Ovis aries: one gene and its partners. The protein of the gene in region 2 binds, or shares a complex with, the protein of the main gene of each other region. Links are inferred from orthologs where the notes say so. Each region holds a gene or a part of one and is shown on either strand. Other genes may lie near its edges.

Region 1 (3,673 bases), on a different chromosome or scaffold from region 2:
CCAATGTACAAAAATGTACATCTACTTTGTAGTTAGAAAAAAACACCCGAAAGAAAAAAATATGTACAAAAATGTACATCTACTTTGTAGTTAGAAAAAAACACCCGAAAGAAAAAAATATGTACAAAAATGTACATCTACTTTGTAGTTAGAAAAAAACACCCGAAAGAAAAAAATATGTGAAAGACAAAGTATTTGTGAAGCTCAATATCTCCTAACTGAAAAACTTCAGAACAGTGTTGTGAACCTTGGAGAGGAAATGCAATAGTAAGTAAGGATGAATAAATTTATAAAATAAAAATACAGATTGCCTAAACTCCAAATGTGCTGACATGGAAATGTCTTTCCTATCTCAATTTTCCTATGCATACATAGAGCACCATGTATATACACCAAATAGAAAATGTTGGTTCAGACTAACACAAAATCATGGTTCTATTGTTTTATGAAAAACCAATGACTTGATCATGTTCTCAATTGATTTTCTTAGTTTCTTTTTTCTTACCCTCATTATATCTACATTTTAAGCAATAATTATTAGAACAAAAACTTTTAAAATTTTTATAAACATATATTCCCCCATTTAACCATTAAACTTTTTTTATTGTTATTCTTTATACTTTTAGTGATTTACCTTAAAGTTTAAATGTATCAAGAGGCTCTGCTATTTAAAATAAAACTCTGGAAATGATTGTTAAATAGAAAAGTCTTTCTTGATCATCACCTTAATTTATCTGTTATGTAGATTTAGTGTTCTTATTTTATATTTTCTTATAAACTCATCTATCTGGAAAAAAATGTGAACAAATACATTTTATTAAACTATTCAAACAGAATTCTATTTTGAATTTCAAAGTATTGGAATATACCTAGTGACAGCTTTGGTATAGGGCAAAGGTTAATTAGTTAGTGTACAGGGGAAGAAAACTTTGACTGAACATTATATATAATAATAAAAAGCAGAAATAATAAAAAGAGCATAAACAGAATAGTAAGGTGTGATTAACAGTGGGAAGTGAAAACATTTTCAAAATTAAGCAACATAAAAATGAATAAGGCATAATGTGGAAATCCTAAGATAAGCATGAATCACAAAACAGGAAGGATAGAAAAAATGATTTTTAATGTAGCTACAACTATCTCTCAATAAAATACAATACTTTAGGAAAGAAAATATTGTATCTCTTAAGACAACCCAATTATCACTTAAAATTAATGGTTCAGATATACCCAAGCAAGCTTTGTTCTTAACAGAATTTCCTTAAATAGGTTTCTCCTATTAGCAAGGGAATATGCTCATTTATGATCATGAGTCCTTTGGGCCATCCAAACTCTATATATTAACAGGCACCCTGATTATCAGATCAATCTTCATGTGAATTTACTGGGTATGAGCAGTTCTTCAGTGAATAATGACTTAATAGATAAGATCATAAGGGTTAATGTACCCAGGACAGTGGCAAATTACATAGAAGGCTCTCAAATACATGTACTTTTCTCTTTTAACTTTATAATAAAAATAAACCCACAGCCCAAAAGAACTGTAAAAGACAAGAATGATTTCTAAAGATAGCTCAACATAAATATTTTATAACTTATTGTGAAGACATTTTGCACACCACCACCATAAATACTGAACATGGCTGTATGAAAATAACAATTTTAGGATAAAAACATTTCCTAAATATCATCACAATCTACCTGCTTTCTTCTTAACCTCAGTATAATAGCTAAGACCCTAGCAGACATGAAAATTTGGTGTCTGTTTACAAATGTAGTCTAATACATCAGAATACTGACCAGCATCTCCACATACTTCATACGTACTGCCAAGACATGGATAGGCCAACAATAGTGAAAGAAATATACACATTTCTAGTTACAGGTACTAACTGGAGATATTACAGTAAAGATGTAACGCCACCAATATAGATCTCTACACACCTGAAAACATTGACAACAACAAAAAATTTAAGATATTTGACATCAGGTAGACAACATGCAGGCTTTAGGGTTGATTTACTGCTTTCACGTGCTGTACAGTCTTATCATTGTGTCCAGCCTTGGAATTTCAGAGCCAGGGAGGATACAGTTCAAAACACTTGCTTTGTCCCTTTTATTGTGTTAGCCCTCTGGTGTTTTCCTGCAGTCTTCTAGAATGATCCTCCAGATGCTTATTCAACAGCACTGGGTCAAATCTCTTCTATACAGGACCTCACTCTTCTCATGTCTCCTCGGCTCGCAGACAGCCGGTCAAAGTCTTGGAGGTGGAAACGAGTTGCCAGCTGATTTACCATTTTCCTCAAGGTAAGAAATGCTGAAACAACTTGGAAAGTAAGGAATATAGTGAAGATGATATGTACTGCTTTCTCCAAGGGCAGATTTGTTAGGCCCTCATTGAAGAGCAAGAAAAGAATTAAAGGCAACTGCAACAGAAGGCTCAGAAGCCAGAAGCCAGCCAACTCAGGAACCTGCAATGATACACACGACAAACATCAGACCAGTGAAGTACCATCTTCTGCTTGTGCTGAAGCAAGTGATACTACTGTGAACCTACATTTTGAGCTCTGTAATTCAAAATAAGTATAGTGTGGTCCTTATCCTCAGGGAACTTACAGTCTAGACTGAAAGAGGAAACTACCTTATGTGACAGTCCTACATTACTACACTTAAGTGAATAATGAAACGTACGTACCACTTAGAGTAATAGACTAAATGCTCTAACAGAGTAAACAGGGTAGGTAAAAGAAATAATTCAAGGAGGTAGGCTTTTAAAGTTAGATAGAATGAGGAAGCGGAGAAGGCAATGGCACCCCACTCCAGTTCTCTTGCCTGGAAAACTCCACGGACAGAGGAGCCTGGAAGGCTGAAGTCCATGGGGTCACTGAGGGTCGGACATGACTGAGCGACTTCACTTTCATGCATTGGAGAAGGAAATGGCAACCCACTCTAGTGTTCTTGCCTGGAGAATCCCAGGGACAGGGGAGCCTGGTGGGCTGCCACCTATGGGGCTGCACAGAGCTGGACACGACTGAAGTGACTTAGCAGCAGTAGCAGCAGCAGAATGAGGAAAAGGCAAGAACTTAAATAAGCAAAAATGTGGAAAGAATATGACTGGGAAACAACACATCAGCCTGGAATGGATGTCTGTGTTAGGAAAAAGCACAAAATACAGTGGGATAGGCTGGGTGGGGCTTAATTATGAAGGGCCTGGAAGAACACTGAAATCTTTAGGCATTATCACTCAGTTCTGGTAACTGTAAATGCTTAGGCAGCATGATGACTCAGAAAACATCTGCCTTGCATAGGAGATGGGTTTGTCATTTTCCCCAATTTTCTTATTCAGAATCCAAATCATCATGTTTAATGACCAAGTATGTTCAAGACTACTGGGAAGAGGGAAAATGATCATTAATTAAGAGTTTACTATGTTCAGGTGCTTTATATAAATTGTTTAACATAATCCTAACAAATCTGTGAAGTGAATATTCCCCCGATTTTATATGTGAAGGAACCAAGGTTCAAGAGAGTAAACAAACAGACCACAGTGACAGCCGTGGTGAAGCTGGAGCTAGGCCTTACCTACAGGCCTTTGCTCCTTCCACATCTCACTGCCTTTCCTTGTTGGCAAAGTCTTAACTGCATTTATGTATAGCACTGAGAGAAAGGAAAG
Region 2 (3,512 bases):
AGTGGACTGGGGAGCTCCTGTACAGGTCAAGGTCATGACAAGGGAGGGGCTGGGGGAGAGGCCATGTCAGGCAGGGACCGTCCAGGTGGATGAGGATGTGTCAAGGGCGGCTGGAGTCTGGTGGCCGCAGGCTGGGCTGACGGCCAGGGGTGTTCTGGAAGCTGGGATGGGGCCACAGGGGATGTACCTGCGGAGCAGAGGCCAGAGCAGGAGAGGACTCCTCATGCAGAGGCGGCCAGTGTCCTGCTGCTTGTTCCAGGGAGCACAATGAGTTGGGGCAGGGGCAGTGGCCCTGAGTAGCATAAACTTCTGGTTTACGGAGGAACTGGGGGAACATCAGGCTGGGGGCTCCCTCAAATCCTGCCAAGGAGAGAACACTGGGCAAGCCCTGTGACCTGCTCAGAGGGCTCCCCTGAAGCTGCTGGCGGGCGGTCAGGTGGCCCAGCATTGGCTGAGGGCAAGTGGGTTCTCCCCCTGCAACACCACCCACCTGGGGAGGCTCTCAGCCCACATCCCCTGTCCAAGGGTGGCAGGCATCCATGGAACTGAAGCCATGGAGCATGGTCAGTTTGACACGTGCCAGGCACTGAGCAGGCAGGTTTTAGGGCCGAGCATGTCGAGCCGTGAGGCATGGGATCAGTGTTGAATCCAAGCTCGTGTGCTGGTGGCCGTCCTGTGCAGCGTCCATGGGCGGTGCCCTCTGAGGTGAGGCCCGGGCTCTGCTCCCAGGCGATGTGCTGCGAAAGTCGGAGCAGCCCCAGCCCAGCCTCTGTGAAAAAGTTACACTTTATTATACGATTGCTGGGCAGAGGGCTGTTGGCTTCACCGGGGGAGGCCCTGGGGTGGGCTGGGCCCCGAGACGCCCTGCGTGTCAGGAGGCCCGGTGTCATAGCCCAGCTTCCTCATGTCCTTGGTCACCACGTTGAAGAGGAGAGTGACGAAGCCCTGGGAGCGGACACGGGTCACTGGGGACAGAAGGATAGAGTCAGCCAAGCTGGGTCAGAGACAGATCCAGGCTGCTTTGGGAATTGGCAGCCTCAGTGTTCCCTCCTGGAAAGTGGGGTCAACACTGCCCAGCCCACATTCCTCCCTGGGAGAAGGGGCTGCTCTGGGGACGGGGCGATGGAAGTGGCAACCCCTCTGAGCTGGGCCCTCCTCCACCCATCTGACTCCTGGGGGCCCACCTGGTCCCTTCCAGGCCCACCCTGCCCAGGGTGAGGGGTGAACCTTTACCTTCCCGGCCTTCTCCCTGAGCCACCACTTTGGGGTCTGTGTACTCGGGCCGCCGTCCCATGAGCCAGCTGGGAAGACAGGGGAGCGGGTGAGCAGGGAGCTTGGGGTCCTGCAGACATGGCATGGGCTCTCCCTCCAGCCCTTTCCTGGGGCAGAGCCTCCCCACGCCACCCTCCTCAGCTGGACGCTGTCCTTGGGTACGGTCATTGTGGGCAAAAGCAGAGGGAGGGCTAGGGCTGGGAGGGTGCACGGCCTGAACCCAGGGGGCCCCACCCCAGAGTGCGGCAGCCATCCTTGGGGGTGGGCAGAGGGACAAGATCCGGGCTCTCCGCTGTCTTTCGAGTAGAGCGGGACCCGAGACTAGTTACTTCCCGACTCTGGGCCCGAGTGTTCTCAGCGTCCTGGAGATGTGATCACGGGCCCTGCCTGACAGGGCTCTGGCCAAGATGTCTGTGCCCCCGGCCTGGGCAGTGTCCTCCCACCTCGCTCCCAACAGCAGGGAGGTGGCACTGAGGGATGTGGGCCATGGCAGGTAGGGAGGCGCCTCAATGACTGCGCCTCAGTTTCTCCATCAGAGGAGCAGGGCTCCACCTGTACCTGCCTCCCAGGCTGCGCTGAGGACCGAGCTGGGGAAGCAGCCCCTGGGGCTGGCACGTGCCAGGCACAGACGCTGCTGCAGGAGCACCACCGGCTCCTCGGGGCAGAGACATGCCTGAGTCGCCCATGTGGTGGCATCTTGGGGAAACTGGAGGGGCTGAGTGATGGCCCCAGAGATACCAGGTCCTGTTGAGAGAACTTAATGTCTTTGGTTTTAAGCCACCACGTCTGGTAACTGGTCACAGTGGCCACAGGAAGCAGTCACAGGGGAGTGGGTAGGCAGCAGGCTGAGGAAGGGTGCTTGGGAGCAGAGCATCAGAGAGGGGGTGCGTGGAGGGGCTGCTTGGCCAGCTTTTCAGTGGCCTCCCGGGGCCCTAGGCTGCGGAGGTCTATCGATCAAGCTGCTGCCCTGGGTTCCATCATCCAAGCTCACACAGTCCAGCTGGGGCCAGAGCACCCCCTGCCCCCCGCCAAGAAAAGCAGGAGACACCCCTGATACCACCTGGTCAGGAGCTGGTCTTCCCCAGCCAGAAGCCCCTTCCTCCAGGAGACAGCACACGGGGGCCCACAGTTCTCCCCCAAGCAATGTGGACCCACAAGGCCCTTGACATCCCACAGCTGCCCGGTGGGTGGTGATGTCACCTCCAGCCGACACTGGCCCCGTCATAGTGGCTTCCAGAGGAGCTCCCAGGGGTAGCAAGCACCCAGCCATGCTCCCCAGGCCTCAGAGCTCAGGAAGCTTCCTCGAGCCAGCAAGGCTCCAGCCACGTTCCCCTCATCCTGCCCGCCCACCCGGCAGCTGAGCTGACTGTTTTCCATCCCTACCCCCGACAACCAGCCAGGCCCAGCCACCCTCTAGCTCCTGCTCGGATGAGGGAAGGGGCCAGAGGCCTCGGCTGGTCTCGCCCAGACCCGGTGTCTGGCCCCCGCTGGCTGCACTGCCAAGTCCACCACCTACTCCCTATGCCTGCGACCTTCTCTGGGCTCTGCCACGATGGCCCACCCTTGGCTCTAGGCCCTGCTCAGATGTCACCTCCTGGCAGAGGCCCCTCACGCAAAGGTGTCCAGCATGACGAGGAGGGGTGGGGGAATGTGACAGCCCTCCTTTCGATCACCGACGCCAGGACGGGCGCCCTGGGGACGGGGATAGGCGTCTACTCACCTGGTAAACTTTTGCAGTTTAGATGTAGATTCTGGGACAAACATGGGGATGGTCTTTTTGTGCCTGAAACAGATGTTTTCACAGCTGTGCTGAATCAAGGGAAAGCACTGGAACTTTCTGAGCCTCCAGTGCGGGGCGAGCTGGAGTGCCCAGAGGTCAAAGCCGCGGCTGCCTCCAGGGCCAAGTTCCTGAGAGCCCTGCCCTGCCTGTCTTCAAGGGCCAGAGGGTGTGAGGGTTACAGACACCAATCCCGGCTCAGCTGCGCCCTCACAGGGTCTTGCCTTTCCCCAAATGTCCCCCTGCTGCCTGGATACCCTTCCTCCAGGAAGCCCATGGCAGCCCCCAGGGTCCCACCCACTGAGAGCAGCCAGCGGGTCCTGCCCCAACACCTCTCTGCTGCCCGCTGTGCCTCCTCCCTCCCCCACCCCTCTGACCTACTCCTACTCCTTAGGGCCTGCCTGGTCCACCTGTGCCCAGAACGTCCTGTCTGCACTGTCTACATCTGTCACTGGGCTTGATG
Region 3 (3,315 bases), on a different chromosome or scaffold from region 2:
GATGTATTGCCATGTATTTTTTGACATCAAAACCTTAGAAACAACCTAACACCTATCAATACAGGACTAGTTAAATTATGATATTGGTTCAATGAATTGTTCATAGCCATTAAAAAAGGTAGTTAGGTGTGGAAAGAGTTACGATAGAGTAAAAGGTAGTTAATGTGGAAAGACGTCTAACCATGTTAAATGGTTAAATAAGTTGCCAAACGGTATGCAGAGTATGATTCTACTTTTACAATAATGAAAATAATAACACGTGACTATACACATAAAAAATGTCTGAAACAGTATGCCTCATTCTGTAATAATGGCTTTCTCTAGAGGGTGAATCATGAGGTCTTTTAATTTCTGTATTTTCTAAAATGATTTTCTATATATTTTTCTTTTTTTTGGCCATTCCATGGGGCACCTGGGTTCTTAGTTCCCTAACCAGGGATTGGACCCATGCTCCCTGCAGTGGAAGCACAGAGTCAACCACTGGACTGCCAGGGAAGTCCATATTTTCTATATTAATTGACAAAGTGTTCAATGATTATATATTATTTTTATAATTAAAAAGATCTTTCCTCAAATAAAGATCCCATTGTTTCTTCACTGGGAGCAGGACCTTTCTGTGAATGACTCTAATCTCACAGCCGCTCCAAAGCCTCTTGTTTTTAACACAGTGGGACCCTGTTAATAAAGTTGCACATCCCCATTCAGGACCATTTGCCTCTGCTTGCCAGTCCATCCCATCCCACCTGCCTTTTCCTCTGAGGCCAAGGAAAGCAGGCCTCTTGGAGGTGACTCCATGGGCTGTGTCTGACAGGTACAAAGGGAAACCTCTGCCAGCGAAAGATGCCACTTGGTATTAGCGTGGCCTTGACCTTCCCGTCCACCATGATGGCGTCCTATTACCTGCTGCTGCAGACCTACGTGCTCCGCCTGGAAGCCATCATGAACGGCATCTTGCTCTTCTTCTGCGGCTCAGAGCTCCTGCTCGAGGTGCTCACCCTGACCGCTTTCTCCAGGTACTGCTACTGAGGGGCCATTTCCCGTCACCTGAGGGTTGGGTTCCCATCCCAGGGAGGGATTCATTGTTCTTCTAAAGCTTGAAGGGTCTGGACTCTAGAGGATGTTTAAGGGTGAGAAAGGTGTTTTTCCCACTGAGGGTAGAAAGGTGTCTTTCCTGAAGTTACACACTTAGGGAAGATATTCTTGCTTTCTGGGGCCAAGAGGCTTGGATTATAGAACATTTCAGGCCAGCTGCTCTTGTTCACTGGCCTTTTAACATTTTCTTTCTTTCTTTCTGCCATCAGTATGGACAGGATGTGAAGTACAAAAACTTCAGCCAGCAGCCTTCACAGGCTGAGACTGTACATATCTCTGGTACTTCAGCCACACCAGTGAGAAATGGCAGGCCAAGTTGTCCTGAGAAAGGTCGCAGCTTTTCCTCGGCACAGACACCTGGGGAACGAACCCAGCGTAAGACCGCTGGGCACCATCTTCTCAACCAGGACCATCAGCCAGGAGACTCTTCTACACTCCAGTATAGGGAGGGGCAAGGCTGGTGCCTTCCTGGCCTTTCTCGGAACCAGCTCCCTTCTGACCTCAGGTTTTCCTCTTTGATCTTCATGGCCAGAGTATCTTGTGTGGACCTTGCAGGCTCCCTGGGCTTCCAGAAGCACCTGAGCCACACGCTCGCCATGTGTGCTGTGCCCTACATGTCCTGCAGGAGCACAGGGCACCTCAGGAGGGTGTGCTTCCAGAGTGATGCAAAAGCCGCTCATCCCATTTCTCAGAAACTGAGCTCCAGAAATTTTTAAGTAGCTCATAGTGCTATTTTTCTACTCTCATCATGAAACAAACATTATTTTATAATAAATAAGTATTTTCTGTTGTGGGGGGTTGTAGCCTTTTCCTTGTGGCACTTGTCCCTAGAATTTCATCCACTTCAAGAGAAAGTAGAGACTATCCCCAAGGTTTGCCCTTGGCTGTGCTTAGTGACCCTGTGCGGACACAGAGGCAGCAATGAAAGTGTCCTGCTGAATTTTTTCCCCTGCAGCTCTAGTCTCAATTAATCCCTAAAGGCCCTGCCAGCTGCTGTGTCTTCTTCAGACTTGTCATCCTGACCACTCACATTCTTCACCTCTGCCCCAAAGCCAGCAGATTTTAAAATTTTATTTATTTTTGGTTGTGCTGGGTCTTCCTTTCTGCACTCGGGCTTTCTCTAGTTTCGGTGAGCAAGGGCTGCTCTTCGTTACGTTGCACAGGCGTCTCGCTGCAGTGGCTTCTCTTGTTGCGGAGCACAGGCTCTAGACACACAGGCTTCAGAAACATATTCTAAACTTACCAATGTTTTTTGGTCATTTGTTTTAAAATTTCAAGTGAACATAAAAGGAACATATACTTTTATTTTTTAAGCTGGAGAAATGTTGCCCTAAATGAGTGTATCTTCTCTTCTCCAAGTAACCATCTTTAAAACTTTCTCATCTTACATGATAGTGGCCATTTTTTTAGCTCCAAGAAGCCATAAGAGAAGCCACTTTAGGAAACCTTGAGCCATATGGCCCCTTTGCTATCAGGTGAATCCTAGACTATCTGCTCTTACTCAGAGTAAAAAGTAACTGGCCTTTAAGAATGTTATGCTGGTTTTTAACTGCTTATTTCCTGTGATCAGGTTCATTCTCAATCTACAAAGGTCTCCACTGTCCAAGCTTTCTCTTGTTTCCTTACCCTCTGTGTCCTTGCCCAAGGGCTGCCTTTGGGGGTCTATCCAAAGACTGTATTTAGATAGGTCTAATTCAGCATGAAACAGTAACAAAAACTCCAATAGGAACGTCCCTGACATTTCAATAGCATATCCCATATACAATTTTCTGCTGTTTCTCACACTGCCTTTTTGCCGCCTAGCCCTGCTTTGAAGAAATCGCTGTTATCAAACTGGAGAACTCATTGTCCTTGACCTCCCTATTTCATTTAGAGTTTCATTGGTTATGGTTAAAGAATCTGCCTGCAATGCAGGAGGCCTGAGTTCAATTCCTAGGTCAGGAAGACCCCCCACCCCCCACCCCCAGAGAAGGAAATGGCAACCCAATCCAGTATTCTTGCCTAGAGAACTCCATGGACAGAGGATCTTGGCAGGCTACAGTCCATGGGGTTGCCAAGAGTAGGATACAACTTAGCAACTAAACCACCACCACCCTCGCAGCAATGCAGAAAAATGAATGAGAGGTTCAGTTCTAAGGGGCAGCTTATAACTCACAGGGGCTTTAAAAAGCAATTCAATCTCACCCCCGACTTGGCAGGTTTAGAGATGAGGAAGTAACATAG
Region 4 (4,226 bases), on a different chromosome or scaffold from region 2:
TGGTTTTTCTTGTGGTGGAACATAGGCTCAAGAGCACGCAAGGTTCAGCAGTTGCAGCACTTGGGCTCAACAGTTGAGGCTTGCAGCCTCCAGTGCACAGGCTCAGCAGGTGGGGAGCATGGGCGCTGCTGCCTTGCTGCATGTGCAGTATTCCCGGACCAGGAACTGAATCCTGGTCCCCTGCAATGGCAGCTGGACTCTTTACCACTGGATCACCAGGGAACTCCTGTACCTATTTTAGTTTCAAAATTTATACTCTGATAAATGATTGAACAATGTTTAGAATTTCTAATATAGAGAATGCTTTGAGCCCTCCACTGTTGATGTGGTTAATAAAAAAGATTAATATTTCATTCAACAAATATTTGAGCCTTAAATGTATGCCAAAAACTGTTGTTGCTGCTGCTGCTGCTGCTGCTAAGTCGCTTCAGTCGTGTCCGACTCTGTCCGACTCTATGGAGAGCAGCCCACCAGGTTCCTCTGTCCACGGGATTCTCTAGGCAAAAATACTGGAGTGGGGCCACAAACTATTACAGGTATATAAATAAAAGTTTTGTATTTATGTTACTTTACAATTTTCAAACTACTTCCATATATAGCATCATTTGGCCTTCATATAACCACCTTGAAAGAGCCAGAGTAAGGACTGTCATTTTCCTTTACAGATAATAAAAAGGAAAATTTCAAAGGTTAAAGATGAGATTCTACACAAGAATCTTTTGAGTCAGACTGACTAGATTCAAATCATGGCTTTCTCATCTTCTCCTAGGCATGTTACTAACACGTTCTGTAGCTTAGCTTCCTATCTGCAAAATGGAGTGACTATCCCATATCATCAGTAGTACTGAGGATAAAATGAGACAATATAGGCAATATTTTTAGACCAGTGCATGATATAACAAATGCTTACATTTATATTTATTATATCATTATTCCCATTTTCCTATATTTACAATATATTTCTAAGACTTACCGTAATTTCATATTTTCAAATTCTTTGATTTTTAATTCAGTGATTTCTTTTTGTCTCTCTAAATCTTGAGATACTTGTTTTAGTTTGATCACAAGTGAGGAGAGAGAGTCATCTTGTTCTGCTACTGTCTGTTCCATTTCAGCCAAACGAATAAAATGCTTGTTGGTAGGAACTGGAGTGGGAGACTGTTTTATTAAATCCTATGAAATATCATTATATTAGCCATGAGCAGGTACAATGCAATGCCATACTTATCTCATAATTTTAACTTGGTTCCTTAAATGATCAAAACAATTTCAAATCTAAAATGTAATGAAGGCAATGAAGGCTTAGAGAAGACAGGAAATAGGGATCTTATTCTTTGTATTCCCAGCATCTGGCAAAGTACCTACATGTAGGGAAGGATCAATAAATAAATATTGATTGAATTAATGAGTTAAAGTTTGAGGAAGGTAAGGTTTGCATGTTAGGAGAAGAAAGGTCATTTTGCACATACAGAATACAATGACCAAGAGGCAAGAATTATCAGAACATAGAAAGCAGTTAGATACAGGTAAATTAATAATGTATAGATTTGAAAAGACAGACAGAGGTCAGAGGAAGAAATATAAACATGATTTTCTAGGCAGCAGTAAGCTATAACAAATCTAGGCCTAGGGAAAAAAATGATCAGGGCCGTGTTTTCAGATTATTCTGGCAAAAAAAAAAAAAAAAAAAAGTAGGATGGCTTCCAATCCCCTCTCCCTGAAAACAGAGCTAAATTTTCAACTGTATGGTCTGAAAAATCAATAAAGAATAGAACAAAGTTCCTAGACTCTTACCCAAACTGTAATCTTACCCAAGCTGTTTCTTTGAATTTACTGAGTGAATTATCAGCCTGCAGTTCTAATTTACGATGAAGAATATGAAGTTCTTCTTCATGTTTCTTAACAATTTCTCTTTGTTCCTGTTTTATAACAAATGAAAACTATAGCTTACATTGTGACTCATATAAATTTACATTCTAAAAGTCTTAAATATTTTATCTTTAATATACTAAAATCCTTATGAGAGGGAAGGAACAACATGTGCATACATTTCCCTAGCACATGTTCAAACTGACAAGCCTAGCCTTAGAGTATAACTTATTCTTAATATTAGAATACTATGGATTTATTATCTTTTAACTTGTTTCTAGCAATTTTTAAATTTTAGATTTTTTTTACCCCTTAAAGTTCTGGCAAATTTGATTTTCACTGATACCAGTGTGATGGATTTCATTCTAACTTACTGCCTCAATCTTTACCTATTAACTTGAAATCAGTTTCACCATGAACGCCATTACTGGTTTACTCAGTCAATAACACAAACTGCCAGTTTTACTGACACATCTGTAATCCAATCACGTGAAAGTAACAATACCTGAATTGAATCATTTGAAAACAAGAAATGAAACACCACTTAAGGGCAGAATAGTACTTGGCATTTGTCTAAAAAACACCATAATAAATAAGACAGCATAACATAACCAAATACCTCTCTGGCTTTTTCTAGCAGATGTTGATACTTCTTCAACACTTCTTCCTTTTGATTTAACCTTGCTTGCATATTTGCAATGGTCTGGTGAGCAAGTTTCAACGTGTGATGAGATTTTGGTTCCACCTCTTTTCTGCTGAACTCAGCTATAAGCTTTTCTTGTTCTGCAGTGGCAGGCAATCGAAGCCTCAGTTCATTGATCACTTTGTCTCTTGACAGAATATTCTCCTCTGCTAACCGTAAAGCAGATTCTTTTTCTCTTAGTTTCTGTAATGATAAATCATTAAAAAAAATACTTTTTTTTTCTTTTAAATGCTTCATCTGAATTTTAGTCAGACTGGTGGTGGTGGTTTAGTCACTAACTCGCGTCCAATTTTTGCTACCCCATGGACTGTAGCCTGCCGGGCTCCTCTGTCCATGAGATTCTCCAGGCAGGAATATTGGAGTGGGTTGCCATCTCCTTCTCCAGGGGATCTTCCCAATGCTGGAATCGAACCCGGGTCTCCTGCACTGCAGGTAGATTCTTTACCAACTGAGCTACAAGAGAAGCACACTAATAGCCAAATGCTACTTTCAGTTCAGTTCAGTCACTCAGTCATGTCTGACTCTGCGACCCAATGGACTGCAGCACACCAGATCTCCCTGTCCAACTCTCAGAATTTACTCAAACTCATGTCCATTGAGTCGGTGATGCCATCCAACTATCTTATCCTCTGTCATCCCCTTCTCCTCCTGCCTTCAATCTTTCCCAGCATCAAATGAGTCAGCTGTTCGCATCAGGTGGCCAAAGTGTTGGAGTTTCAGCTTCAACATCAGTTCTTCCAAAGAACACCAGGTCTGATCTCCTTTAGGATGGACTGGATGGACTCCTTGCAGTCCAAGGGACTCTCAAGAGTCTTAATAAGGTTAAACTGTATTTCTATGTGATAGCAGTTATCTACATGCATATTTTATTTATAAGATTATTATATATGTTAGAAACTTCATTGTTAATGATGAAAATGAAATTTAGTTACAATACTTTATTTAGATCTTATAGTTTTAGAAATAGGAATGTGGGTGGTGATAGATCTATAAAGAAAATGTACTGAATCATTTCTTTTATTTTGATTCATTGACTCATTAGAGCATCAGAAGAGTAACCCATAGAAGTCAACAAAGTATAAAAGCTGGAATTTTAGTGGTCTGAGTCAATGGATCTCCATTGTAAAATGTGCAGCTTCTCAAAACAAAACAGAAAATAGTATATATTCCTCAACGGAATTAAGCAAATACTCAAAAATCAAATAGCTCAGTGGCAATTCACATAAATGACAAATTTACAATATAGAAGACAATTTAAGTTTCTTTGGTTGATTTAAAAATGCACAATTTAAAAAATTATTTTAAATGTATTTATAGTAATATGATTTTCATTTTAGTTGACATCTAAATATATTCAGTTTATACTATTTTCTGTATAATTTAATAAAGAGAGATCTGACCATCTATTAACCAAATTTAAGACCTAGATTAAACTAAGAAACAACTCCTAGTTTACCTTCAAGCCCTTTAACCACCCACGAAAAGAAGTAAACTAAAAATTGATCCAGAGTTTAGAACATATGCTTCAAAATAAAATATAAAAATAAACAAGGATGAAAACAATTCTTGATCATTGAAGGGAGGGAAACACATTGCTCATAAAGCTACAGTCAAATGCTCTTTTGGTTTCCTTTCATGCTAGCAACTGATGAGT
Region 5 (4,656 bases), about 6.2 Mb from region 2:
AACCATCAACCACGAAACTATCACAAGAGTTTAAAAAACAAATTTACAAACCGTACTCTACACAAACATACCCAAACCAAACACCCTCAGAGGAAAAAAAAAAAAAAACACACCCCAAACTTTACAGACACTATTAGGACCAACACTGCTGCTGCTCCTGCTGCTAAATCGCTTCAGTCGTGCCCGACTCTGTGCGGCCCCATACACGGCAACCCAACAGGCACCCCGGTCCCTAGAATTCTCCAGACAAGAGCACTGGTGTGGGTTGCTATTGTCTTCTCCAACGCATGGTGAAAAATGAAAGCGAAGTCGCTCAGTCGTGCCCGACGCTACTTCAAGTACAACTAAGGAGACAGTACTAAAAACTCAATCTAATCGTAAAGTACATTAACATCACGGATCGCCAGGAAGAATCAGATAGGAGCAATCAGGGTGTTGCAAGTCCTGATTACGCAGAGCCGTTAATCACGAATCATGCGAGCTCCAATCATCATGTTCTATTCTGCCCTCCAAAAGGAGGAACAGGTAAGGATTATCCTACCTGACGATACCGAGAGGACTGCAATATTCCGTACTCCGGTAATAAGACTCCGCTAACAGGTAGGGTGAGTAAACGACATGTTAGTTCGAGCCATCTAAAGCTATCCAGGTTCTTCCACTTCTGTTGTTCAATTTATTTGCAGATGTTTTAAAATAAATTTTTCCATTTGGCTGTCAAAAAGCAAACGCTAATCCCTCCCAGAATGCTTCACTCACTTTAAGAGCTCGAGGTACTAAAGTATAACCTTATTTACATATCTCCGCCCACTCCCTTCCGTCAGAAATCTACCGTAATAACTAGAATAGAAGCGACATTTAGGGTCTTACAGTGCAAGGCTGGAAAACAGCCTTCCGTTTCTATAGTAGTTTGGCCACCCCAATTTTCTCCTGAAATTTTTGTCTTGATTTTTTTCTTTTTCTTTTTTTTGGCCACGCTGCCTAGCATTCAGGATCTTGGTTGCTCCACCAGGGACTGAACCCGCTGCAGTGGAGGCGTGGGGTCCTAACCACTGGACAGCCAGGGAATTCCTGCAGGAATTCCTGTAAGTTTGATCTTACCCTAAAATATATTTTATTACAAAGGACTGTAAACAAAACACAGATAATCCCAGACTTGAGAGATAATTACCCTAACACTGACATCGTTCACCAAACGCAGTGTTAGAAGGAGGGCTGAAGCCTCCCTCTTCCAGGAAGGGTGAGTAGTCCTTCGCTCCTTCAGCCTTCATCCCTACTTCCAGTCACGAAGATATCAGAAAGGTTTCTTTTTCAGGCCAAAGACGCTGATGAATAATGTTATTTCGGTGACAGCCGGGAGGGCACTGAGGAAGGCAGGTGATGGGTTCAGAGTTTCTTCTAATAAAAATACCCAGATCCCCAAGCCAGCGATCCCACCCCCCGACCCCCTGAAGTGTAGGAGTGGAGGACTTCAAAAAGACTCGGGAATGTTGAGTGGATCTGGTATGTTACACATGGAACAAAGGGCTGGGTAGGGGAATCTTCAGATTTAAAGTAAACCTCCCTTCCCCATCCTCAAACATTAGGTGCTACCATACCTGCAAAAGACAAAAATGTACCAATACATGGTGCACTCCCAACGCTCAAATATGAAGAAGGATAGGGCCACAGATGCACTACAGTGAGCCCCGATGGCTTGGGAATACACCAGAGTCAAGGAAAGCCTTTGGGTCAACAGGTAGTGATGAGCCAGAAAAGGCCGGTGATGGGCCTGGCATCTGCATTCACAATCAGCTCCTGGTGAGCAAGGCATCTCTTGCTCCCTTTACCACACTGCAAAGGCCAGAGCCAGCAGCCCAGATTTTTGGGTTTTAGGATGGCCATGTGTAGAGGCCAGAGCTGAGCCTGCCCTGTTGGGAAACCAAGCTACCTCCATCCCATATCTAGTTTGGATCCTTCAGGTGAAGTAGTAGACTCCTGATCTACTCCAAGCACACAGACATGCTCACAGTGACACAATACACTGCTGGGATCACTCTCCAGTACCCTGGTGTTGAGAGCCTTCCCTGATCCATCTTCCTCACTTCCTTTGTCTCTTCGGCATTCCCATAGTGCTTTGTATCTTAACATCTGATGGCACCCGTGCTTATCACACTGAATTGCAGATGTCTGTGTATCTGCCTCTTCCTCAAGATAGAAAACTGTTGTACTCTCATCTTGAGATCTCCAGTGCCTGGTGAGTAGCAGGAGCTCAAAAAGTGATCAGAGATTGTATTAAATCTTCCACATTGCCTAACATCTCTCCACAGGAGGGATTCTGTTTGCCTGCTAGAGCAAACGCCATTGTGCCAGAAAGGCCTAGTTAAGTGGCTGAAGGGCGTTATGGTGGACAAGGGCGAGGAGGAAAGGAGTACACGTAGAAAGGATACAGATGAGGCTCTGGGTGCTGTTGAACATGGAAACTCCTAAGAAGAAACCAGCCAGCTCCACTGCAAAGAGAGCTAGGGTGACAGAGAGCGCTGCCACCAGCCTGCAGAAAAGAAGGAAGTGGCTTAGGCCTTCTGAACTTTTTCTAAGACCCCTTCACTCCCTCTACTGCCTAATTCTGCCCACCCTGTCCCACATGCTCACTGAATGTCCTGCTTCTCATACTCTTCAGGGGTGAATCTGAGAGGCAGGCAGGCCTGGATGTTGCTGTCCTAGGGAGCAGGGCAGAAAGAAACAGAAGTTGAAAGAGGGTCTGGCGGCTGGATATGGGAAGACCCCACCGTGTAAGGCCCCGGGAGAGAAAGGGTGGAGTGGGGCTGGGACCACCCCAAATTGGAAGGAGGAACGAGAAGAGGGCCCTGGGTCTTACCCTGGACCAGAATAAGGTGATGACGACCACCAGATGCGCCAGGAGCGTCAGAAAGCGAGAGGGCACGAGCCCTGAGATCCGGCCCATGGTTCCCAGGGGAAGAGGTACCGCCTGGAGCAGAGGCCGTTTGTCTCTGGGGCTGGAAGCTCAAGGAGGGTCACTCCTCAAGTCTCCCAAGCTAGCAGACAAAAATTCGACGTACGCCGCTTTCCCGCTTACGCTGGCACCGCTCAGTTGCCTTAGTAACCGCAAAAACGATGGCTCCGACGGGACCTCTGAAAGTCTCGCGAGAGCGGCAAATTATCGCGCCGCCTCCGGGCCTCTGGGAAACTTTGTTCCGGGTCCACAATACCTGTGCAGATCCCGACCGGATGCGGAGAATCGAGCTGCCGGCCTTCCCGCGTGCAGATGAGTTGTCTGCACAGCCTGAGAGTGTGTTGTGGCGCGGCCCCCCATTGCCGAGTCTGCCCACACAGCACTGGCGAACGGAAATTCGGACACTCGCTCCTCCCTGTATCCCCATGCCGGGAGCGGCCTGGCCCCCAGCCCCTGCTACTTTGCCCAAGATGATCCTCCAGACACCACAGTCACCACCACTCCAGCCTTAGGGCGTCAACATGCCCGAGCCCTGGACACTGTCTTTTCTTCCATCCCCCGCATCCGTGTAGCTTCTCCTTGACCTAGGCCGAACTTGGAGAGGTGGATGCCCCTTTATTGTCCTGGAGCCCCTGGTTGTTGGCGGACCGTATACCTGAACTTTCCTTGATTCTGATTCCCCACCCAACCACCCACCCAGCTCGCTCAGATTGGTGAGGGATTTGCAGAGTACAGAAAAGAGCCCCTCTCCTGAACTAGGGTGTGGATGAGAGGCGTGTTGCGGGAAGGAAGTGGACGTACGGGACCAGAAAAGGGAGTGGAGGAAGAGAATGAAACCCCGCGTCCCTGGGAGGCAAGAGTCGAAGGCGGAAATTCAGAGTCTACGATTTCCTTATCTCTTGGAGGTGTGACCAGCAGAGTCTCTTTGCCCAGCTATAGTCCAAGCATTTCTCACGATTGGGACCTCACGGACCTTCGGACCTTAAAGGTGATTCCTGTAGAACGGAAAGTTCTCGCCGGAGTTCACGGCTAACAGTCAAGTCACAACTTCCAGGCTCCCCCCCCCACCCTCTTACCAGATCATCTCCCAAGAATAATAATGGATAATCCATAATAAGAATAGAAAAGAGTTTTATTTGAGCCAAACTAAGGAGTAGCCTGGAAGCTCCTTTCCCCGATTACTCTGAGAAACTGCCCCAGCGAAGCATCTTTTTCAGTGCAGTTTTGCATCTTGTAAGAACAAAGAACTTTATACAAGTCAGGGTTACATTTCTTCTTCTTCTTTTTTTTTTTTTTTCTTTTTTAAGGACCAGATGATTAATACACAGCAGGTCAGCATGGCCTTGGCACTTGGAAAATATCTCTCATAATCACATCGAAGGTGTCCCAGGAAGAGGGGCGTTTAATCTTTATTTTTAACATGGGCATTTTTTACTTCTGGTCAGCGTGCCCTTTCCTTTAAATAATTAAAGCAGATGTACAGCGTGTGTTTGATAGACCACAAACAGGCTATTTTAGTTAGGATAAATTCAAGTTGTGTAATGTTTAAGCCAGAATGACTTCCCTATATCTCAATATGTGAACACTTCTTTTATTACTACTCTCCATCTCAGTGCCTCTTAGACAGGTCTAAACTACAAGCCCAAGAGACATTTTTTAAATTTCCTCATTCATTCATTCATTCAACAGATAAGTCCCAGGCACTG
Region 6 (4,226 bases), on a different chromosome or scaffold from region 2:
TTCCTTGTCCTTTCAGACTCAGGTCAGGCACTGCCTCCACCCCTGCAGGTTCGCCAGGAACCCCCCTCCTCTAGTGTCTCTCCTCTCTGCTGTCACTATTGGGCCCCGACTAAGTGATTTCCATGAGGAGTGTGGTTTTCATTCAGCTCTGTGGCCCAGTATGTGCCTGGGGAGGCTCAGAAGGTAAATTCGGTTATTTGTCTGCTTTTGTAATAACAGGAACAAGAAATTGAGAGACTTAACAAGCTGTTGAGACAGCACGGACTTCTCGGGGAGGTGAACTAGACGCACACCTTCTCCAGCTCAAAGGGAAGACCTGCCTCATGGGCTTGTGACAAGGAAGACAGCCGCCCCTCTGGGGCCATGTCGGGGAGAGCTCTGGTTTGATGGCTTTGCCTCACTGCTGCTGGCTCGGATCCTGGGGGACACAGCCTTTTACAGGCTCTATTTCTTCCTTGGTGTGACTGAGAATGTCCCACCCCACACTGTGTAACAAATGTATCATAAACTATATTTTTTCTCATGTTGGAACACTTTACTCTTGCTTGAAAATGAACAAGCTGGACAATTACTAGCTGTATATAAAATTTAATCTCATCAAACGTACAGTTTTCACTTTTCACATGTATATTGAGGGATCAGTACATCCTTTCATATGAGCACTCTGAAAAACAAAAAAGAAAGCTATCTTAGCTATCAGCACTTTCTAGAAGTCTTTTACATGTCCAAGCTGTTCTAAATAGCTAACCACAATTTCCCCCAAGGAGGCCATTCTCGAGTACCCAGCCCCCTCCTCTGCATCCTCCAGCTTTTAGCTGGCTCCACCTAGTTCTGCCACCTGACAACATTTTCCTCAGTTACTGTACAACTAATGTATAAAATAAACTCTCTCCTTCCCTCGGGCCCTCCTACTAGATCCTTCCAGCTTCATCTGCTGGGAATCACTTGGTGGCATCCCAGACCAGCCCACTAACTGGAGAGCAAGCTAGCTCCGGTGCCTGGTACAGAAGTGGCAATTAGACCCAAGACGCCACTGTAATTAACATGACATTTGGGGGAAGATCCTCTTGTGAGGCCTTGTCCTCTACTCGCATGATTTTAAACAATTTGCTATTTTTGTACACATTTCAGCAGGACCTGAAAAGGAAGAAAACCTGAATGAAAAATAATATTTTAAAAATAACTCACATTTAAAGCAGGGGATGAACAAACTGGATAAACCCTCAACGCCTGCACTACTTGAAGGTCTGTCCTCGTGTCTTCTCAAAGGTGCAACTTGGTTTCCACATATGACCTATGTGTTGAGAGTACTGGAACTGGCTAAGACCAGATCATGCCTCCTTCTAATGTCAGACCAACTAGAAGGACATTCCCGAAGGGAGACGAGAGGAGGGAAGCGAGTGGAAAGGAAGTGTGCTGGTCTGGGGGCAATCTCAAGGGTTATAATAAAGTGGGATGTCTCCGAGGGGCCGTGGGCCCCACACGTGCTGAATTCTGCAGATATGGTGTAGTTTCCTTATTTAACGACTTACATCAAACAAATGGGAAGAAGAAATTAAAGGGCAGCCTGGCGTTGATGGTTGGCCGAGCTCTGAAGCCTGCCTCTGCAGGGGCAGACACATCCACAAAAGTAACCGCAGTGGAAATAAGAATCGTCCTTTCATTTCCTGAGTTGGTCTGTAATACAAAATCAGAATAATGCAAGCCCTGCCCTCCAGTGTGCTATCAGGATAACAAAGATGGGACAAGCTTCCATGCCCTTCCTCACCCAATAGCTGTCAGTTCATGAATCTGATAGGTACATGGAGGGCTCATCAGTCACTAACTCAGAGGAGAGAGACAGTTTTCACTCAGGTTGTCCCTCACACACTGATGTCATGCACAACTCAATTCTGACAAGAATTTTAAAGATCAAATCTAAACAAGAATGCAAATGTGAACAAAACCATTTTGTTCAGTGGAGGCTTTTCCTCTAAGTAAACGATGACTGCTAGATTGTTCTAAGAATCCAGATTGTTTAAATTTTAATTATTTTTTACAAAATAATAAATTTCACCTATCACAGCTGAGTTTTGTCTGGCCTTGAGTCTTGTATCTTTAACATTAGGCCTACCTCAGGAAAGGAAGATGAAATTAGATTTGCAGTTACATTGACTATTTTGGCCTGTGGGTTCAGTAAGGATCCGTATTTAGTCCACTTCACTTCTACCATCAAAGCCACTGGGAGCTGGCAGGATTCCTGTACAATAATATGCCATTAATCAATTTGAGTATTATACAACCTTAAGTCAAACTTAATCTGCAGTTCAGAGTTTTAATTATAAAATGTTTCCCATATTACAAAATGTTCTGAACAAGAGAATGAATAGACTCTGGAAGTTCAGATAAAAACAGCTTAGAAGCAGCATGTATTTTAAAAGTACTCAATGCTCCAAAAAAATTTTAACACCTAAAGCATAATTCTTCCAGCCCTTCCTGTTTCTAAAGAGACCAGCATTACCTGGGAGTTGTACCCCCAATTATGGACCCTCCAGGGCCGACAGGTCTAACTGCACCCACCCATTTACATCTACCTCAGAGATTCTTTAGGAAAGGAGTTGGCATGGGGGGAGGAGGAAAGGGAATATAGTATTATTAAGTCAGAAATTAAACCTGACTGCATATCATGTTAAAATGTACTTAGAGGAAATTCAAGTCCTTTCTTTTCATTTATCTGATTTCACTGGTTGGCAATTAAGATGTTACATCGGGGTATACAGGCGCTGTCTTAAGTTTTCAAAGAAGTTAACTCTCACTCTCAGTCGAGGGCACTGGTGCCACAATGGAGCTGCCCCATGCAGGCCTGGACACTGGGAGCTGGGCCTGAGACCTCAGCCCCAGGATCTTTGTTTGCTCAGCCCTACGGGGAACATATGAAGGGGGCCTTCCAGACCTCTTTCCTGTCTTTACAGTTTCTTCAGTTGGCAAATGTGTTAAAGCTGCCTGATAAGGAGATGGAATTCCACTGGAGTATTCTACTTTTTGTCTATGTATGTGTGAAATTTTTCCACAGTGAAAAGTTTTTTAAAATACATTTCTTTGGGGCATGCAAAGCTAGCATACCTGCTAAATTTGGTGCCGGCTGAAAAGGCAAGGGTGGAATGCCTTGGCTTAGCACTGTCTCTTAAGAAATTTGCAGGCTCAAAAATCCTTGAGAATATCCTGTTTAGAAGATGCAACACGCAGCTGGTGTCACCTGAGCCCAGCAGATGCCCTCGTGTCGGCTCTGCCTAGAAGGCTGGGATGAAACCTGCCCCGGGCCCTCTAAGCTCCCGACTGGCACAGACCCCGACAGTGCTTGCGTCCATGCTGCTGCCTCTCCCGCCACAACTTGTGTCTTCCCTTCTAAGGGAGAAGTAACAACTGGACATCTTAACCCATCTGCAAGAAGCTGGGAGCAAACTGCCTGGTTCACTGAGGCAGCAGAGCTGAGCCAAGACTTAGCTGAACCGCAGGGACTGAGTAAACACGGCTCTCTGCTGGGGACTCAGTGGGGATGGTGGGATCGGAGCTAGTGAGCTAGTCCTCACCCCACTGTCCCCATGCTATAAATGTGCTAAGCAGATAATGAGAGGCCTGAAGAAACGGTGACATGAAAAAGCCGGGCAATTAAAGGATAAAGATGGAGAGCACGCCTCCGCTGACGGGGCCAGCCCACACTCTGACTGCTGAGACAAAAGAAAAAGGTGGGCAGGAGAACCACATGTGATCTGGAACCTATTTGTAGGATGTCAATTTCCATTAAACTCTTCTGGGAACTTTAGAATTGAAAGCTCTCATGGGTGGAGTGCTTTTATAGACCAGGGAACAATGGATAGGACAGCTCTGCAGATGGGAGGAAGTCTTGCTGAAACAGTCCACTTCACCTATCATATCATGATACCTAGAGAAACCTTGCATAACACCAACAAGGGACAGGATGGTGACTGGTAGTGGTCCCCATTTATAGAGAGACCACTAGGCACCATTAATATTACCCGATTTTAACTCTCAACAAGCCCTGAGGGCAGTAATACAGCTATGAGGAAAAAGAGGCTCAAACCGGTAAGATCGCTGGCTAAATCACTGCTAACTAGGGGCAAAATCAGTATTCAAGATCCAGGCCCATCTGATAACAAAGTCCAAACTCCCACCCACAGCCACTCACCCTCTTAACAGGTACCCCCTGCCTCTGTCTCCCCACAGTG
Region 7 (4,226 bases), on a different chromosome or scaffold from region 2:
TCACCAACTCCTAGAGCTTGCTCAAACTCATGTCCATCGAGTTGGTGATGCCATCCAACCATCTCAGTCTCTGTCATCCCCTTCGACTCAAGGACAAATATAACCTTATTATCATATACATTGACAAAGCTTAAAAATTTCTCTCAAAAAAATAAAGCTGTGGCTCAGCTGGTAAAGAATCCGCCTGCAGTGTGGCAGACCTGGGTTCGATCCCTGGGTTGGGAAGATCCCCTGGAGAAGGGAAAGGCTACCCACTCCAGGATTCTGGCCTAGGGAATTCCATAAACTATAGTCCATAGGGTCGCAAAGAGTCGCACAAAACTGAGCAGCTTTCACTTTCACTTTCAGTAAACTACCAATGAACAACCAGCAATCCATGACAGGCACTACGCAAAATACTTTTTATACTTTAAAACACTATTTTCCAAAATGCTTTTTGAGGAAGGTATCATGTTATACTCACCTCTATGCTTTCTACTCTCATAGATTAAAGGCTCTGGAAAGTTTTATGGTAAAGGAAGTTACATGACTTTATGGAATCCAGTATTTTCCAAACTTACTTGATTATAAAATGACTTTTTCACACAATCCCTTTTAAGCTTTAAAAAACAGGACTATAAGTAAGTTTTTGAGATGGTGTTCTTATGTCTCAGAGACACACATGTTCTTCTAGGTTCAAAAAAGGGAAGGAAGGAGAAAAGTAAGAAAGAAGGAAAAAGGAATGCAGACAAACAAAGGAGTCCAACAAAATTTACATCAAACCTTACTTAAGCAGCTAGTTCTAGAGAAAATCTGTTACTTATGCAGTTTCCATATTTCAGTCTCATATTCAGTTCTGAATACTTCCTTTGATAATCCTACCCAGGTCCATCAAATAACTGTAAAGGGGCCATGAGCATGTACCCATTCAGTGTGTGTGGTTAGGCTGTAGCCCCAAATCCTAACACAGGACATGGTCCTTAGTAGGTGTTCAGGGACAGAAAGTAGAATGGTGGTTCCAGGTCTGAGAAGAGGGAAAAAGACGAGCACAGAGTTTTAGTTTTGCAAGATGAAGGGTTCTAGAGATGGACTATACGACAATACGAGTATACTTAACAGTTACTGAACTGTACACTGAAAATGATAAATTTCATGTTATGCGTATTTTTTAAAGGCTCGATAATAATATTTTAAACTTCAGAAAACTCTCACTGACAGGAAAACTTAGCTGGAATTACATTAACATTTATGAGGTACCCATAAATTGCATACAATTCTATCAAATAGTTTTTACCTCCAAAAGGAAGAGGACAGTAAGTACTTGAAAGAGTGGGTTAATTTTTCTCACAGTCTGAATTTCGTTCCATTCATTTGCCACAAAATAAGTTCTCCATATGCTTACAGGAACAGTAGCACTCCGGACACCACCCTCACCTGGTTGGGGAGGTAAAATGAGTAAACCGTTTCACCTTCTTTGCTTTACAGTGGTGGCGAAAGAAACTTGGTACAAATGGTTACTTTCATTACCTTCAACAGCTTTAAGAACCTTCCCTTTAGGCCGCTCCCAATCGATAAAGAATATGTCTATGGTAATCTGGGAGATGAGCTTATGCAAAAATTGCAGAGCCTGAGAATGACAAACGCAACACCTTAAAGTACTGGCATTAAGTCTGCTTATGAAACCAACGCTAATTCTTTAAGAAACAAACATCTGAAATCACAAGAAGATATATGGGGCTTCCCTGGTGGCTCAAATAGTAAACAATCTACCTGCAATGGGGGAGACTCAGGGTCAACCCCTGGGTCAGGAAGATCCCCTGGAGAAGGGAATGGTAACCCACTCCAGTATTCTTGCAGAGAATCCCTGGACAGAGGAGCCTGGGGGGCTATAGTCCATGGGGTCGCAAAGAGTCAGAGCGACTAATATTTTCACTGTAAGTTTCACAAGTGACAAAGTTGTCATACCATCAGGGGCTCACCAGAAACTCATCATATAACAGTCACCAAATTCACAGACTTTCTACACACATATTAATTTCACCTTTCCTCCTTCTGTCTTTCTTAGAAATAGGAATATGAAGGTAGACATGCTGCCTCCCTCCTCACACAGGGATCTTGCCTAAAGGACTCTCTTTCCCAAGGGTTCCAAAAGCCTTTAACTTCTTTATAAGGAAAGGTATCTCCAACTGTAATTGGTTTGTCCTAATGAAAGTTTTAGGATGTTCTTACTGCCTTTTTCTCTATTTCTACTATTAAGATTTCTGATGAAAAAAAAAATCCTTTTCATTTACAGAATATGTTTAAACCGAGGCTTCTTCCGAGAAGGTGCATTATTGATCAAACAAAGGTAAAAAATTTAAGTATGGGATGATTCCTCTCTTCCTGGGGCTCACAGATCAGTGGGAACAGCAGTCACTTAATAATCACAACATAACTGGATGAGATGTACAGCAGAGACATGTGAAGAGCATCACATCCACTGAAAGAACAGTGAAGCAAGGAGGGGGGGCTCCCATGGGAAGAGGAGGAAAGGAATGTGGAGGCAGAGAGAACCAATGCTAAGAGTTCAGCACTTTATCCAGAGTGGTACCGTTCACTCTTGATTAACAGTCTACATTAAATAATAAAAAATTATTTAAGGCAGATCTTCAGAATGAGATACCTATTATAAATAAATGCAGACTTCCTAGTAAAAAAGAACAATTCATACCTTCTTCTAAAATTCAACTAATTTTATACCAAAGATTTTGAAAGCATTTTAACTCTGAAGACTTACGTGCTTACTAGCAGACTTTTTTTTTTAAGCAGACTTTTAAAATTCAGTAACCTGTGCTTTGAAACTTACCTTCAGAGCAAAACCACATCCCACATAAGTAACAAAGCGTTCTTCTTGAGCTGGCACTGGTAGCAAAACAGAGACAGACTTCTGTGCCTGTGATGAAAATTACACTGCTAAGTATGACCACACAAGGTTTTTACTAGGCACAATTTATAACCCAAAGAAAGCATAAAAGAAATACAACACACTCAGGAACAGTGAGTTTAGCACTTGCCCCAGTACTCTTGATTAGAAACACCCTTAAGTAAAAACAGTTGCTTTATAAAGAGAGCTTACAAGTTATTCAGGTTGTGGCACTAAGGTTAAATTCAGAAAATCACTTACTTTAAAGAAAATAAGCCAGTAAAGACCTGTTCCTACAGTGATGATAAAGAAAACATTGGCCAGATCACCAGCATAGTACACCAAGAATTTCGTAACTGTCTGCAATTTAAAAAGAGAATCACAGCTGTTATAGACTCATTCCATTTATACTACTTTAATAACATATTATTATTAATAACATTATTATCAACCCAGTTTCTCAAGCTTGAGAAGCTCTTATTTCATGTATCCATGGATCAGTCAGAAGGACTGACTGCAGCCACTTCCTAGATACCTTTTGATCCATTTCCAATAACTTCTATCTTATTCAACCCTTCTCATCTTTCACCAACTAAGAACTTTAGAACCGCTTTCTAATTTTCACGTTTGGAATCCTTCTCCCCAACGTACCCTACATACTACCATCAGAATTGGCTTTCTAAAATGTAAATTGGACTGTGTCACTCTCTTTCTTAAAAATGTACAGTGATGCCTCATTAAAATGTAAATTCCTGATCCATAAGTTCCTTTACAACCTAGGCCAAAATTAAATTTTAGCCTCATCTGTCAGTTCCAACAACTTGCTCAATAATTAACCACTCCACAAATTAATCCCAAATGTTTTGGGGAATGAAATGAGCATTATTTCAACAGATATTCTTCTCTTCTTCTCTGTGGCAAACTCTCTGGAGCTCTGAGGGCAGAGACCATGTCTCCCTTTGCCCATTATCACACCCCCCAGCACCTCATAGAGCATCTGGCACTCAGACAGCAAGCCATCAGTGACTATTTGTGGAATGCAAAGACTGCTGCTGCTGTTCAGCTGCTAAGTTGTGTCTGACTTTTGCAACCCCGTGAACTGCAGCATGCCAGGCTTCCCTGTCCTTCACTATCTCCAAGAGTTTGTTCAAACTTAGATAGTGCATTGATAACCCAGCTTAAAATTCACTTCTTTTGGATACCTTTCTTGACTCCCCAAACAGTAAATCAAGCCCCCTCCTCTGATTTCCAGGCACATTAGCTCTGGAGACAGGAAGATAACCCAGCACAAACCAGTTTACTATAAGCCTTTCTCGATGGAAATACCACCTATTACTTTGATATG

Evidence for each region.
Region 1: B9D1 (region 2) and TMEM17 share a complex: the UniProt entries of both Homo sapiens proteins name them as parts of the tectonic-like complex. The link is inferred for Ovis aries from reciprocal best matches to the Homo sapiens genes B9D1 and TMEM17.
Region 3: B9D1 (region 2) and TMEM216 share a complex: the UniProt entries of both Homo sapiens proteins name them as parts of the tectonic-like complex. The link is inferred for Ovis aries from reciprocal best matches to the Homo sapiens genes B9D1 and TMEM216.
Region 4: B9D1 (region 2) and CEP290 share a complex: the UniProt entries of both Homo sapiens proteins name them as parts of the tectonic-like complex. The link is inferred for Ovis aries from reciprocal best matches to the Homo sapiens genes B9D1 and CEP290.
Region 5: B9D1 (region 2) and TMEM107 share a complex: the UniProt entries of both Homo sapiens proteins name them as parts of the tectonic-like complex. The link is inferred for Ovis aries from reciprocal best matches to the Homo sapiens genes B9D1 and TMEM107.
Region 6: B9D1 (region 2) and TCTN1 share a complex: the UniProt entries of both Homo sapiens proteins name them as parts of the tectonic-like complex. The link is inferred for Ovis aries from reciprocal best matches to the Homo sapiens genes B9D1 and TCTN1.
Region 7: B9D1 (region 2) and TMEM67 share a complex: the UniProt entries of both Homo sapiens proteins name them as parts of the tectonic-like complex. The link is inferred for Ovis aries from reciprocal best matches to the Homo sapiens genes B9D1 and TMEM67.

What each region holds. Positions count from the first base shown.
Region 1 is NC_056056.1:45,738,769-45,742,441, reverse strand, and holds the end of TMEM17 (transmembrane protein 17), read right to left. Parts: intron 2,472-3,673; coding exon 2,193-2,471; 3' UTR 799-2,192; downstream 1-798. UniProt on the Homo sapiens protein: Transmembrane component of the tectonic-like complex, a complex localized at the transition zone of primary cilia and acting as a barrier that prevents diffusion of transmembrane proteins between the cilia and plasma membranes.
Region 2 is NC_056064.1:33,866,821-33,870,332, reverse strand, and holds the end of B9D1 (B9 domain-containing protein 1), read right to left. Parts: intron 3,056-3,512; coding exon 2,993-3,055; intron 1,302-2,992; coding exon 1,234-1,301; intron 966-1,233; coding exon 823-965; 3' UTR 768-822; downstream 1-767. UniProt on the Homo sapiens protein: Component of the tectonic-like complex, a complex localized at the transition zone of primary cilia and acting as a barrier that prevents diffusion of transmembrane proteins between the cilia and plasma membranes.
Region 3 is NC_056074.1:36,448,709-36,452,023, forward strand, and holds part of TMEM216 (transmembrane protein 216), read left to right. Parts: intron 1-811; coding exon 812-1,013; intron 1,014-1,301; coding exon 1,302-1,317; 3' UTR 1,318-3,315. UniProt on the Homo sapiens protein: Part of the tectonic-like complex which is required for tissue-specific ciliogenesis and may regulate ciliary membrane composition.
Region 4 is NC_056056.1:124,377,320-124,381,545, forward strand, and holds part of CEP290 (centrosomal protein of 290 kDa), read right to left. Parts: intron 2,756-4,226; coding exon 2,489-2,755; intron 1,920-2,488; coding exon 1,812-1,919; intron 1,174-1,811; coding exon 974-1,173; intron 1-973. UniProt on the Homo sapiens protein: Involved in early and late steps in cilia formation. Its association with CCP110 is required for inhibition of primary cilia formation by CCP110.
Region 5 is NC_056064.1:27,637,002-27,641,657, forward strand, and holds the start of TMEM107 (transmembrane protein 107), read right to left. Parts: upstream 3,099-4,656; 5' UTR 2,942-3,098; coding exon 2,855-2,941; intron 2,697-2,854; coding exon 2,629-2,696; intron 2,528-2,628; coding exon 2,427-2,527; intron 1,693-2,426; coding exon 1,596-1,692; intron 1,362-1,595; coding exon 1,292-1,361; 3' UTR 1-1,291. UniProt on the Homo sapiens protein: Plays a role in cilia formation and embryonic patterning. Requires for normal Sonic hedgehog (Shh) signaling in the neural tube and acts in combination with GLI2 and GLI3 to pattern ventral and intermediate neuronal cell types.
Region 6 is NC_056070.1:54,534,223-54,538,448, reverse strand, and holds the end of TCTN1 (tectonic-1), read right to left. Parts: intron 2,240-4,226; coding exon 2,114-2,239; intron 2,070-2,113; exon of another isoform or gene 1,678-2,069; coding exon 1,534-1,677; 3' UTR 1,533-1,533; exon of another isoform or gene 665-1,532; 3' UTR 573-664; downstream 1-572. Other genes in the region: HVCN1 (voltage-gated hydrogen channel 1), read left to right, coding at 1-117. UniProt on the Homo sapiens protein: Component of the tectonic-like complex, a complex localized at the transition zone of primary cilia and acting as a barrier that prevents diffusion of transmembrane proteins between the cilia and plasma membranes.
Region 7 is NC_056062.1:83,394,311-83,398,536, forward strand, and holds part of TMEM67 (meckelin), read right to left. Parts: intron 3,242-4,226; coding exon 3,143-3,241; intron 2,912-3,142; coding exon 2,825-2,911; intron 1,607-2,824; coding exon 1,507-1,606; intron 1,414-1,506; coding exon 1,274-1,413; intron 1-1,273. UniProt on the Homo sapiens protein: Required for ciliary structure and function. Part of the tectonic-like complex which is required for tissue-specific ciliogenesis and may regulate ciliary membrane composition.